3 linked regions of the Sus scrofa genome follow. Each later gene encodes a partner of the first gene's protein in a complex. Links are inferred from orthologs where the notes say so. Each region holds a gene or a part of one and is shown in the gene's direction. Other genes may lie near its edges.

Region 1 (4,261 bases):
CATGAGGTTGCGGGTTCGGTCCCTGCCCTGGCTCAGTGGGTTAACGATCCGGCGTTGCCGTGAGCTGTGGTGTAGGTTGCAGACGTGGCTCGGATCCTGTGTTGCTGTGGCTGTGGTATAGGCTGGTGGCTCCAGCTCCGATTGGACCCCTAGCCTGGGAACCTCCATATGCCGCGGGAGCGGCCCAAGAAATAGCAAAAAGACAAAAAAAAAAAAAGCCACATCAGATGGCAAAGAGAACACCAAAACTCTATGCTCATAACAACTTGGCTAGGTGGCCAGGACAGGGATCCTCTCTGCCCTAGCTTCATAGGTAAGTAAAAGACTGCCAAGGATAAGGGACCTACTTTTCCCAAGTTGTCTCCATTTTTGAGGCTGGATTAAGGCTTACTGTGGTAGCTGTGGTAACTGCTCAGTGTGTTGTAGCAATTATCATCATTACTATCATCCCAGATTCCCATTTTTCAGGCTGAAAGCCATTTCCTCACTTTTGGTGCAGAAGGGACAAAGATGCTTCTCGGTGCCTCCAGCCCATTCCCTCTGGTACTCCCCCTCTTCTTCCCTACCTCATCTCTTTCCTCCCCTGAGGGGCCTGGCCTTAGAAGCCCCAGTGTCTGTCCCAGGAGGCTGCAACAACTATGAGGGTTGGGCTCCGTTACTTTACCACCTTTTTTGCACACACCTGACAGGGAGAATGTGTAGCAGTTACAGTTAGTCAATCTCTCACCCCAAACTGTCCCCAATACCAGCTATTGGGGGACTTTGAGCCTTCCTCCCTGTCCTCACCTGTAAAACGAGCCTCATAGGGTTGTAGACCAAGTGGTACACATGCTGTAAGGGGTTGCTGTTCTTACTATTACGAGTGGGTAAGAAACGGAGATTTAAGGAGATACTGTGATTGGAAAACTCAGTCCTTGCAATTGCCCTGCCCATTAGATAACGTCACCCCATTTTATATAAAGGAGGGACCTCCGGGCCACCTCCACTAAGGTTGAATGGGGAGGGCAAGGTGGACGCTGTTTTCTCATCTGTAAATGGCAACAACAGCACGGGCCTTTCCGACACGGTGACTAACAGATCACCGAGCCCATCAAGCCATGCTGGCTCAGCACACAGCGCCCGCGCCAATGCCAATACACACGTTCCCAGGCCACCGCAGCCGCGCCCCAGCTCGGCTCACAGGTCCGGGCCACGCCCCCCGAGAAGACCCGGAAGCAGAGTCCCCCCGCAGGTCAAAGCTGGCGATGCTGCTCCTGTACCGCCGCCAGAGGGCATGAGCGCGGCCTTTGTTGGCTTGCACCTCGCCAGTTACGTCAGCGGCCGGTCGCGGAAATAGAGGGGTTTGCCGTACAAAATGGCGGCTGCCTATGGGGCGGTTCGGAACGCTGAGAAGCTGTTCTGTTTCTGGGACACGCGGCGATCCTGGCGTAGGGCTTGCAGCAGGCTTCTAGCCAAAGACGGCTCCCGCGGAATTTCCCGGCGCCTTTGTTGTCAGTAAGCGGCAGAAGGCACAAGATGGAGGCGTTGGCTGGGCGGCCGGAAATGAAAGTGAGCGGCGGCGTGTTTCCCTCCCCACCCGGCTCCCCCGCCCTCAGAGCGCCTCGTTGGGCCGCGAAGTCAGCAGTGACCCGGGGTCTGAGCTATGTCCCTCCTTTCTGAGGCGTGACCTGCCGCGAAAGGTACAGAGTGAGAAGCCGAGCCCAGGAAGTGTATGGGGGCCCACTGTTGCGGGCTTGGTGTTTTCCTTTAAGACTCACGGGGCCTCGGTCTCCTCGAGCGAAGACGCAAATCCCGAAACGTTCCATTGGGAACGACATGTGTAAGGCTCAGTGCGGGGCTCCAGGTTCGCAGGTTTTCTTCTCTGGCCGCGGGGTCGCCTCAGAGTGACGCTTAACCCAGGAGGCCTGCCGGGAGGTGGGGCGGCGGAGCGGGCTGCCTCTGAGCACAGCGTCGGGTCGGAGACCCTTTGCTTATTTAATTAATGTGAAACACATCCTGTGTAAGTTTAAAAAACACTTAATATCGGTGATATACACACAGCGTGGAACTTAACCATCTTAGTCGCTTTCGAGTGTGCAGTTCAGTGGCATTAAATACATCGCGTTGCTCTGTGATCAGGCTCTATATAAGTTCATTTTGCCGAAGACCGAAGCTCTGTACCCTTGAAAGGGTACCTCCACATTTGTCCCTCCCCAGTCCCTGGCAACCACCGTTCTTTCCTCATACAGGAGGCCTGGAGTGTTTGTCCTTTTGTGACTGGTGTGCATCACTGAGCATAAAGTCTTCAAGGTTCACTCGCGCTGTAGCACGCTCCTTTCTTTTTCAAGGCAGGTTGATGTTCTGTGGTTTTCACGAGCCCTGAAGGGTAGCGGAATAGCCACCCCAAGTGTGCCAACTTGGCACGCGGGTTGCTTTGAGCCAAAGGCAGTCAGTATCCAGCAATATGAGGGAAAGCCTGTAGCTCTCCCTTAACTGCCTAAAAGAATTTAAATAAGGACCAGACCAGAAAAAGCAATTACCAGAGAGAAACTTTTCTATCTAAAAGACTTACTTGGGGAGTTCCCGTCGTGGCGCAGTGGTTAACGAATCCCACTAGGAACCATGAGGTTGCAGGTTCGGTCCCTGGCCTTGCTCAGTGGGTTAACGATCCGGCGTTGCCGTGAGCTGTGGTGTAGGTTGCAGACGCAGCTCGGATCCCGCGTTGCTGTGGCTCTGGTGTAGGCCGGCGGCTCCAGCTCCGATTCGACCCCTAGCCTGGGAACCTCCATATGCCGCAGGAGCGGCCCAAAGAAATAGCAAAAAGACAAAAAATAAATAAATAAATCAAAATAAAATAAAATAAAAGACTTACATGCATGGCAGGACAAACATCTAATCACCAAGCCTCTGCCCTGCTCTTCTCTTCTTGTGAGTGGCCCTCCTCCCCTCTGAAGCTCCAGCCCCAACCCTTCCCTCAGCTCAGGAGGGCAGATAAGCCTCACTTGCCTGACTACCTTCTTATTTTTATAGGGCTCCCATACATATGAAATTAAGTTGGTTCCTTGCCTATTAATCTTTTTTATGACAATTTAACCATTAGACTAGCCAAAGAAATTAGAAAAATAGAAGGAAAATTTTTCCACCCTGACACCGCATTTTATTTATTCATCTGTTCGTAGACACCTGGTTTGCTTCTACTGTTTGCTACTGTGAATAACTCTGTGAACATAGGATGGACACACATTTTTACATGAACTAATATCCAGTAGGGTTGCAGAGAGGAGAGTATGATTTACATATTTAAATTTGATGAGGTAATTTTGAATCATAAATGAAACATTAAGCTGTTTACAAGATCACTATAAGATTTTAAATGTAGTCAGTCATTGTGCATTATGGGCCATGGCGTAGCCTGGTGATGGGACATGGATTTAAGGTGCTGTGGTGATTGTGGACCTCCCTTCAGCCCTGCCAGCAGGCTTGGGGGAATTTTGTGGATAATCTTACTTAGAGATGGCATCGAAAACCTAAGGAGTAGGTGCACAAATATAGGAATCAAAGATCCATAACAAAGGATTGTGAAGTGACATTTTGGAAGCATCTAAGGCCTGATTTATTCATATGTGAGGCGTGGGAAATTATGGTATTCGTCTTAAGGGGTTATTGTGGGGATAGCAGAGTCATGGTGGATAAAAGGCTCACCTGGCCAGTAATAAATGTTGGCCATGGTGTCTGTGGACATAAAAAAATGTTCATAGTGTGCAATTAATTTTTTTTTTTTTTTTTTGGCTGCACCCAAGGCATATGGAAGTTCCCTGGCCAGGGATTGAATCTGTCACCAAAGCATCAGACCGACCCTGCCCACCCACCCCCACTGCAGTGACAACTGCACCACATGAGAACTCCCTGCAATTAATTTTTAAAAGGCAGTACATCTGGGTGAAGGGTACATGGGGATTCTTTTTACTATCTTTGCAACTTTTCTGTTTATGTCAAAATAAGTTTAAAAAACACATTAAAATAGCATGTAAAATGGAAAACAATTTTGAGGAAAAATTTTTGCCCACAAAAAAGACTTGATATTTTTATATCAAACATGCTAATCATGGAGTTCCTGTGTGGCTCAGCAGTAATGAATCCAACTGGTATCCATGAGGACTCAGGTTGGATCCCTGGCCTTGCTTAGTGGGTGAAAGGATCCAGTATTGCCATGAGCTATGGTGTAGGTTGCAGACTCGGCTTGGATCTGGCCTTGCTGTGGCTGGATTTAGGCTGGCACCTG
Region 2 (3,627 bases), about 62 Mb from region 1:
ATTCCAGTGGCAGAAGCTGTGGTGTGTGGCAGGACTTCAAGGTTTCAGAGTTGTGTGCTCTATTGGAGGATAGCTATGCTTTACCTTCAGTCTCTGGCAGCAGTTCAAACCTGCTGCCAAAGGCAGTTCCTGCCAGCGTTTGTAGCGCTAAGTGCTCTTCCTCTGAGGGCCTCTGTCCTTGACTCTGACACATGTTTTTTCTTTGTAGTTTGCCAGAAAGCATGAGAGCCCGCTGCTGGTGACAAAGAGCCAGAGCCTGACAGCTCTGCCTGGTTCAACATACACCCCTTCAACCAGCTATGCTCAGCATTCCTACTTTGGATCCTTCTCTAGCCACCAGCAGTCTATACCCACTCACAGCTCAGGTATGGAGGGAGCAAGGGGTAGTTAAGGCACATATCCCCGGCCCTGGAAAGCAAGAGGACTTACTGGGTGCTCACAGGCTGGCTATAGACCGTCGGGTTGGTGCAGTTTGTCAGGCTTCATGTCTTAATATGGAAATCTTAAAGAAGTATATGCAGCTAGCCTAGGATAATTCAGTAGAAGCATTAAAGTAACTGAGAAAAGAGATATTGTTTTACTTTCCCCTGGGTTTCTAATCCACGTTGCCAAGAAGGCATTTCTGTAATAAAAGCTAGCTAGCATTGATTCAGTGCCTGCCATTTGCCAGGCTGTGTTGTGATCAATTTGTATATATTCTCATTTGATCCTTAAAAGAATCCTCTGAGGTAGGTGTTATTATTATTGCTCATTTTATAGATGAGGAATGCATACTAATAAGCAATGAAGCCACTGTCTCAAGAGCTCATGCTTTTGGCTTAGCTGCATTTTTTATTTACCTTGTGTGACTTCATCTTTTCTGAGGTGACACCATGTGTCCTGGGCACCCAGTAACGATAGGGAGTTTTGTCCTTACTTGTGGAGAAGCCCTTCATGTTTACCAAAGGCTTCTAGCTCACCTTTCCCTTCCATTTATTTTTATATCCTAGAAAGAAGATCTACTTCCTTTTCACTGTCTGGCCCTCCTCGGAAGCCTCAAGAAAGCAGAGGGCATGTCTCATCAGCAGAGGATCAAACCATCCAAGCTCCTGTGCTTCCAGCATCTGCATTAGCCAGGGACTCCCCCTCAACCCCAAATGAGATGAGCTCCAGTACTCTGACCAGCCCCTTAGAAGCATCCTGGGTCAGCAGCCAGAATGATTCCCCAAGTGATGCCAGTGAGGGGCCTGAGTACTTGGCCATTGGCAACCTGGACCCCCGCGGCCGGACTGCCAGCTGTCAGAGTCACAACAGCAATGCTGAGAGCAGCAGTTCCAATTTGTTCTCCTCCAGCAGCTCCCAGAAGCCAGATTCTGCTGCTTCCTCCCTAGGGGACCAAGAGGGAGGTGGGCAGAGCCAGCTGTCCGGTGTCCTTCGCAGGTCTAGCTTCTCCGAGGGGCAAACACTCACTGTCACCGGTGGGGCAAAGAAGAGCCATACTCGCTCCCATTCAGATACCAACATTGCCTCCAGAGGAGCTCCAGGTAATGATAATCTCCAGCCCTCATCAGTAAGGGGCCTCCTGAATGTAGGGTAGGAGGCAAAGTTTGTTCTTAAGAGTCCTCAAATGGCAGAAAGAGAAGTTAAGTTTCTGTTGATGTAATGAGTATCCTGCTTATAATGAAAAAGAAAAGTTTGTAATGTAATGTGGCTATCCAAGAAATCTCTCTGGGAATATTTGTGTGTGTTCCTTTATGCCTTGCTAAATAGTAAGTACTTTCCTGGATCCTTTCACTAGTTCTTTAGCATCAGAAGACAGTGTGACTAATCACAGTTCAACTTCTAAATGCATATCTAAACTGAAGGGAAGTACTAATGAACTTTAAAAATAGTCCCATTAAATTCCTCCCCTTCCTGTGATTGCTGAGAAGTTTGGTCAGGATGTAGCAATGGTATAGGAAAGGCAGAGTGATACTAGGGTTTCCTTACTGAAACCAGAGATAATAGTGTATGTGGGATGATGTGACCTAGTAAATAAGCAGGTGGGGCTGAGTGCTACATCACTAATTCAGGTTGAAAGGCAGTCAGGTAAGGAGGCCCTGGCTGCTGGGACCTCCCTCACACAGACACCAGCTGCTATCTGAGAGCACCCTAGGCATGGCCAGGCTAGATCTCGCTGCTTTTGCCATATCCCTGCCACCATCTTTCCTAGGTTTTTGGTGTCTGGCAGGCTTTGGTTGGGTTTCATTTGTAAGAGAATCTCCCAGAAAGCAAGCAGAACATGGACTTTTGTGCTCAAAGCCAGTTCTGGGTGGAAAAGCCTCAGAAATAAAATATAAAAATAAAACAAGGAGTTCTCATCATGGCTCAGTGGTTAGCAAACCTGACTAGGAACCATGAGGACTCGGGTTTGATCCCTGACCTTGCTCAGTGGGTTAAGGATCCGGCGTTGCCATGAGCTGTGCTGTAGGTCACAGGCGCGGCTCGGATCCTGCGTTGCTGTGGCTGTGGCGTAGGCTGGCGGCTATAGTTCCGATTGGACCCCTAGCCTGGGAGCCTCCATATGTTGCCGGTGCGGCCCTAAAAAGACAAAAAAAAACCAAAAAATAAAAAAATAAAACTAAAAATTAAGAGCTAAAAAGGAAGATTTCCTTTCATGGCCTAAGCTGTAATTTCTAAAAGGTGAAAGCTAAGGTCCTCATCTGAGACTTCTGAACTGCAAACTTGTGTCTCTGTGTCCCCTCAGGGATGTGGTTTGGCTCATTGGAACTCTAGGAAAAAGAAAAAATCTCCAAATCAAAGCCTGTCTTCCCACGAGCTTTCTTAGATGTGAAGAGTGTTTGGGTTAGAACCTTCCTTCACATCGCCTGGAACAGACCTGGTATCTGCTGTACTCCAGGCCACTGGCGTTTGAGCATGTAAAACTTCCCTGCCCCCATTCTTGAATCCATGTGGATTCCAGAAACCACGGTAACCTGCACTGGAAAAGGGAGCTAGAGAAAACCTAAGCAGAAGGATCTGAGGGAGTGTGGGTCCTGTGCAGCTTCTCACATGACTCACCCCTCCCTCTGCGCTAGGGTTCCCTCTCAGGAGTTAAGCCCCCACCTTTGCTAGATAAGAGGACACTCTTTTTCTCACTCTGTCTATTCTCATTTTTCTGGACTCTCCTCTGCACCTGTCTGTCTACGTACAGGAGGCCCCAGGAATATCACCATTATAGTTGAAGATCCCATTGCAGGTTTGGGAGCCAGTCCTCCTCCTCGTCCACCACCATCCTCCTCCTTCTGCTCCTCTGTGACCATCTTGCCTAGTTCAAGAACTTCCTTTTCCATTCTGGTGTCAATTCACGTCTGGTTAGTCTGGTCCTGTAGCGGTGTTTGGACCTTTTTGTAAACTGATACCAGTATTTTGCATGGTATGTTTTCTGCCCACCACTTCCAGATGCCTCATTCAGTCTCTCAGCAGCTTCTGGGAGGTAGACTTATCCATCTTGTGTTGCCCAAAGATAAAACTGAGGTGTGCTTTTTGTGTAATTCATCATAATGAATCAATCAGTGGCAGAATGTTTCTTACAACTGAGTACTGTGAATTACCTTATTTTCCTTGAGTTAACACCAGAATGTGTTTTCTCCCCTTCCCATGGTCTTG
Region 3 (3,627 bases), on another chromosome or scaffold:
CTTGGGGGCCCTGAAGTCACTCTGTCCCTCCCCTGCCTGCTCCTGGGGGCTGCACAGGAGGCTGAACAGAGTGGACTCCGACTCCTGTGGTCCCTCAGGGCCCTGATTAATGACCTTCCCATCTCCTCTCTCCTCGGCGTCAGTGACGATGAGGATGGCTCCTGGCTCCTGCTCTCCAGCGACAAGGGAGACCACCCACCACCTCCACCCCCTGAGTCCAGAATACGGAGTTTGTATGTTGGGGGAAGAGGACGGGCGGGGGGCGGGGGGGCACCACCTTTTCTGCTCCGCTGGTGCTCACCCCGCTTGGCCTGGACTCTGAGCATGCCTGTCCCCTCCTGCTCCCCCGGTGGCCCCTTGACCTCCCCCCGCCTCATGCTCCCTTTTCTTCCACTTGAGTCCCCTTTTTCTAGCACCCCCTGCCTTCAGCCCCATCCTTGACCTCTCGGCTCTCCCCCTAGCTTTGGCCTGTGGTATCGGGGTGAAGCAGAAGCCCCTGAAGCTGACGCCAGCAGTGCAGCTCCCAGAGAGCTGCGAGCAGGAGAGGAGGCCACAGCACCACCCCATTTGGACCCTGTAGGCAGCCTGACAGCCCCCAGCTCCTGACCGGCCCTGCTCTGCTCTTGATGAGTATCTTCCACTGGGGCATCAGTTGCCCAAGAGACCTGACTTTGGAGTCTGTCTGTGGGTGAATGTGTGCCCTCGCATGAGGCCAGGGTGCCCTCCTTCCCCCCCAAGCTCGCTGCTGTCTTTTCTCTATCTCTTTTTTTGGGGGGGTGGGGGTTGCACCCATGACACATGGAAGTTCCCGGGCCAGGGATCAAAGCTGCGCCACCGCAGAGACTGGAGCCACTGCAGTGACTATGCCCAATCCTTAACCCTCTGAGTCACAAGGGAACTCCCCAAAGCTCTTTTCTAATCCCGGCCTGAGCCAGGGCGTGCCGGGGAGTTCAGCCTACCTTCCTTCTTATATCTCTGGGCCCAGCCTCGGGGCCACATGAAAGTGCTTCTTCTCCGAGAGTTTCCCCCTCCATGAAATGGAGAGCTGACTTCCTCCCTCCCGGGGGTTGGTACGGATGGCCTAAGCTAATTATAATAAAGCAACTGCCCTTGATACCCAGAAACTGCTCCACGTCTGTCTGTCCGTGGCCTGCCCCTGCTCAGCTCTTCCCGGAAGTTCCCCTCGGTTGTCACCGAGTGGGGAAGCTTCTCCCGGCTCGGGCTTCCCTTGGGGAATGTGACCAGGAACATCCATGGCGCACCCCCTTGCCTGTCACCAATACTGAGACTTACAGCCCCGTCTTCCTGCCCCCTCCAGACTGAAAGCAGCCCCCGAAGCCCCGACTCAGCCCTCGCCGTTGGCCTTCCTTTCAGTGCTGGGCGTCTGGTCCTCTCTGTGCCTGCCCAGCCTCTCAGGGAGGTGCCTCATGGCAGCCCGCCCCTCCGGCCTGGTTTCCTCAGGAAAAGCCTTGGGAGGAAGCAGGGAGGGGGTTGGGAGCTGTGGGGGCCAGACTGGGCTGAACCCTCCAGCTGCACCGGCTGCCATGGGGCCGAGGCTGTTGTTCCCTCTGCTGCTGCTCTGGACCTGGGGGACCCGGGGGTCTGAGCTGGACCCCAATGGGCTGCACGTCTGCGTGGCCAGCAGGTGGGTCTTGTGGCGGTCGGATGTGGGGGGGCGGGGAGGGCTGAACTGGTGTTGAAGCTTTGGGGGGGAGGAGGACGTGAGGAAAGACATCATGGGGCTAAACCACAAGGGGTTCAGGGACAGCCTGGAGGGGGGCAGATAGTCAGGGCAGATGGCAGAAAGTCCAGGGACAGGGATTGGGGACACTGGGGCTGTGACTCTTGGCCAGGCTTGCCTGATGGGGCTGAGGCAACACCTCCCATATCTCAGCCAGAGGCAGTGACCCACCCTGGAGCCAGGCTGTTCCCCCCCTCCCCCCCGCTGCTGACCCCTCTCTGCCCCACAGCCCCTCTGCTGAGCTCCAGTGCTGCCCAGGCTGGAGGCAGAAAGATCAAGAATGCACCATCCGTGAGTAGCCAGGAATGGACCCACCCCCACCCCTACTCCCACCCCCACCCAAGGAGAAGGGAGGAAATAGCAAGTGACCCTCCTTCCTGTCCTCCTGGGGTCTATTTGCCCTCCTGAGCCCTAGACCTAGGGACTGGCCTGTGACAACTCCCCCCACCGCCGCCTGCGGCCCACCGCCCCCCGCCAGCCAAGGAGTCAGCTCTTGAGGGGGGCAGGGCACCGAGAGCCAGTGAGAAGGGCAGAGTGTCCCCTGGTCTCTCGCAGCCCTGTCCTTCCAACTTGGGTGGGGTGTTTTTCAGCCATCTGCGAGGGGCTGGATGCCTGCGGGCAAGACGAGGTATGTGTGAAACCAGGCCTCTGTCGATGCAAACCTGGATTCTTCGGGGCCCAGTGCAACTCCCGTGAGTCCTGAGTCTCTCCTGAAGGATGAAGTTGCTGGGCAGGACTGGGGGAGAGGGGAGGTGAAGCAGGTGGGAATGTGATCCTAGAACAGCAGGGCCAGAATCCCTCCAAGCTTCCCCGAGGAAACTGAGGTCCAGAGACAGGAAGTGACGCCGTCTTGGAAGAGGCCTTGAGTCATTTGATTTTTACCCATATCCACAAAGCTCTCCCACAGCTTCAGTTTTTCATCTTCCCTTTCAACTTCTCAGAAAAGATGCTGGGGATTCCCATTAACTGCAAAATGGATGTATTCTCCCTGGCATACACTACATGCCTGTGTGGAGGGTGGCTGGACCGTGTGCCCTCTCTGGCAGAAAGAGGGGCTTGGGAAAGCGGCCGGCAGGCAGGATAGCCAGCAGGCAGCCTAGGAGTCAGGGTTGAGAGGAGAAACGGGGGGGGGGGGGGGGGGGGGGTTGTGGCTCCTGCCACCCTAATGGGCCGTATCCGGGTAGATACAGTGGGGGCCCCATGAGAGGGAGGAGGGGCAGGATGAAGGCCCACCACTTCTATGTGACTCTGGGCCAAAGGCCCTTTCCCACTCGTGATCCTTAAGTGTGTTCTGGAATGTGGAAGTGGGAGGCTGGGCCACTGCTAGGAATTTTTGTAGTTAGAGTCTGGGGCAGGAAGTGAGCTGTGCCCCAGGAGGATAGGCTGTCCCCGGCTCTTGGAGGGCGGGCCCAGCGCCCCCTCTTCCTCGTGGAAGGGGGCGCAGAGCGGGGATCCGTCCCTGGCCCTGAGCCCACTAACCCCTCTTCCGCCCCCCCGCCCCCCCGCAGGCTGCCCTGGCCAGTACTGGGGCCCCGACTGCCGGGAGACCTGCACCTGCCACCCGCACGGCCAGTGCGAGCCAGCCACGGGCGTGTGCCGCTGCCAACCCGACCGCTGGGGCAGCCGCTGCGAGTTCCCGTGCGCCTGCGGCCCGCACGGGCGTTGCGACCCCGAGACAGGCGCGTGTCACTGCGAACCCGGCTGGTGGTCGTCCACGTGCCGCCGCCCGTGCCAGTGCAACCCGGCGGCCGCGCGCTGCGATCCGGCCACCGGTTCCTGCCTATGCGAGCCCGGCTGGTGGGGCCGCCGCTGCAGCTTCCGCTGCCCCTGCCACGGCTCGCCGTGCGCACAGGAGTCGGGCCGCTGCGCCTGCCGGCCGGGCTGGT

Evidence for each region. Proteins that work in one complex are often made in the same cells at the same time.
Region 2: the proteins of RAB7A (region 1) and RUBCN are in contact, whole or in part, in a crystal structure (PDB 6WCW), measured with the Homo sapiens proteins. The link is inferred for Sus scrofa from reciprocal best matches to the Homo sapiens genes RAB7A and RUBCN. Residues at the interface, in NP_004628.4 of Homo sapiens: Ile41, Gly42, Ala43, Asp44, Trp62, Gln71, Ser72, Leu73, Gly74, Val75, Ala76, Phe77, Arg79, Ser101, Asp104, Glu105, Ile108, Gln109, Ser111; in NP_055502.1 of Homo sapiens: His818, Asn821, Met822, Lys824, Thr825, Arg827, Leu883, Gln885, Ala886, Lys887, Gly888, Phe889, Ile890, Glu892, Gln895, Glu897, Ile900, Pro903, Cys915, Lys916, Arg931, Arg934, Arg938.
Region 3: the proteins of RAB7A (region 1) and RILP are in contact, whole or in part, in a crystal structure (PDB 1YHN), measured with the Homo sapiens proteins. The link is inferred for Sus scrofa from reciprocal best matches to the Homo sapiens genes RAB7A and RILP. Residues at the interface, in NP_004628.4 of Homo sapiens: Ser3, Lys6, Leu8, Ile41, Gly42, Ala43, Asp44, Phe45, Leu46, Thr47, Thr58, Trp62, Ser72, Leu73, Val75, Leu182, Tyr183, Asn184, Glu185; in NP_113618.2 of Homo sapiens: Phe248, Glu249, Leu252, Gln253, Arg255, Asn256, Lys259, Ala260, Phe263, Leu264, Glu267, Glu268, Tyr271, Arg274, Glu275.

What each region holds. Positions count from the first base shown.
Region 1 is NC_010455.5:71,883,909-71,888,169, reverse strand, and holds the start of RAB7A (ras-related protein Rab-7a), read left to right. Parts: upstream 1-1,411; 5' UTR 1,412-1,548; intron 1,549-4,261.
Region 2 is NC_010455.5:134,322,336-134,325,962, reverse strand, and holds part of RUBCN (uncharacterized protein LOC100153714), read left to right. Parts: intron 1-208; coding exon 209-365; intron 366-989; coding exon 990-1,523; intron 1,524-3,172; coding exon of another isoform or gene 3,173-3,217; intron 3,218-3,627.
Region 3 is NC_010454.4:47,853,913-47,857,539, reverse strand, and holds part of RILP (rab-interacting lysosomal protein), read left to right. Parts: intron 1-143; coding exon 144-233; intron 234-461; coding exon 462-606; 3' UTR 607-1,427; coding exon of another isoform or gene 1,428-1,645; intron 1,646-1,970; coding exon of another isoform or gene 1,971-2,032; intron 2,033-2,331; coding exon of another isoform or gene 2,332-2,433; intron 2,434-3,249; coding exon of another isoform or gene 3,250-3,627. Other genes in the region: SCARF1 (scavenger receptor class F member 1), read left to right, coding at 1,428-1,645, 1,971-2,032, 2,332-2,433, 3,250-3,627. UniProt on the Homo sapiens protein: Rab effector playing a role in late endocytic transport to degradative compartments. Involved in the regulation of lysosomal morphology and distribution.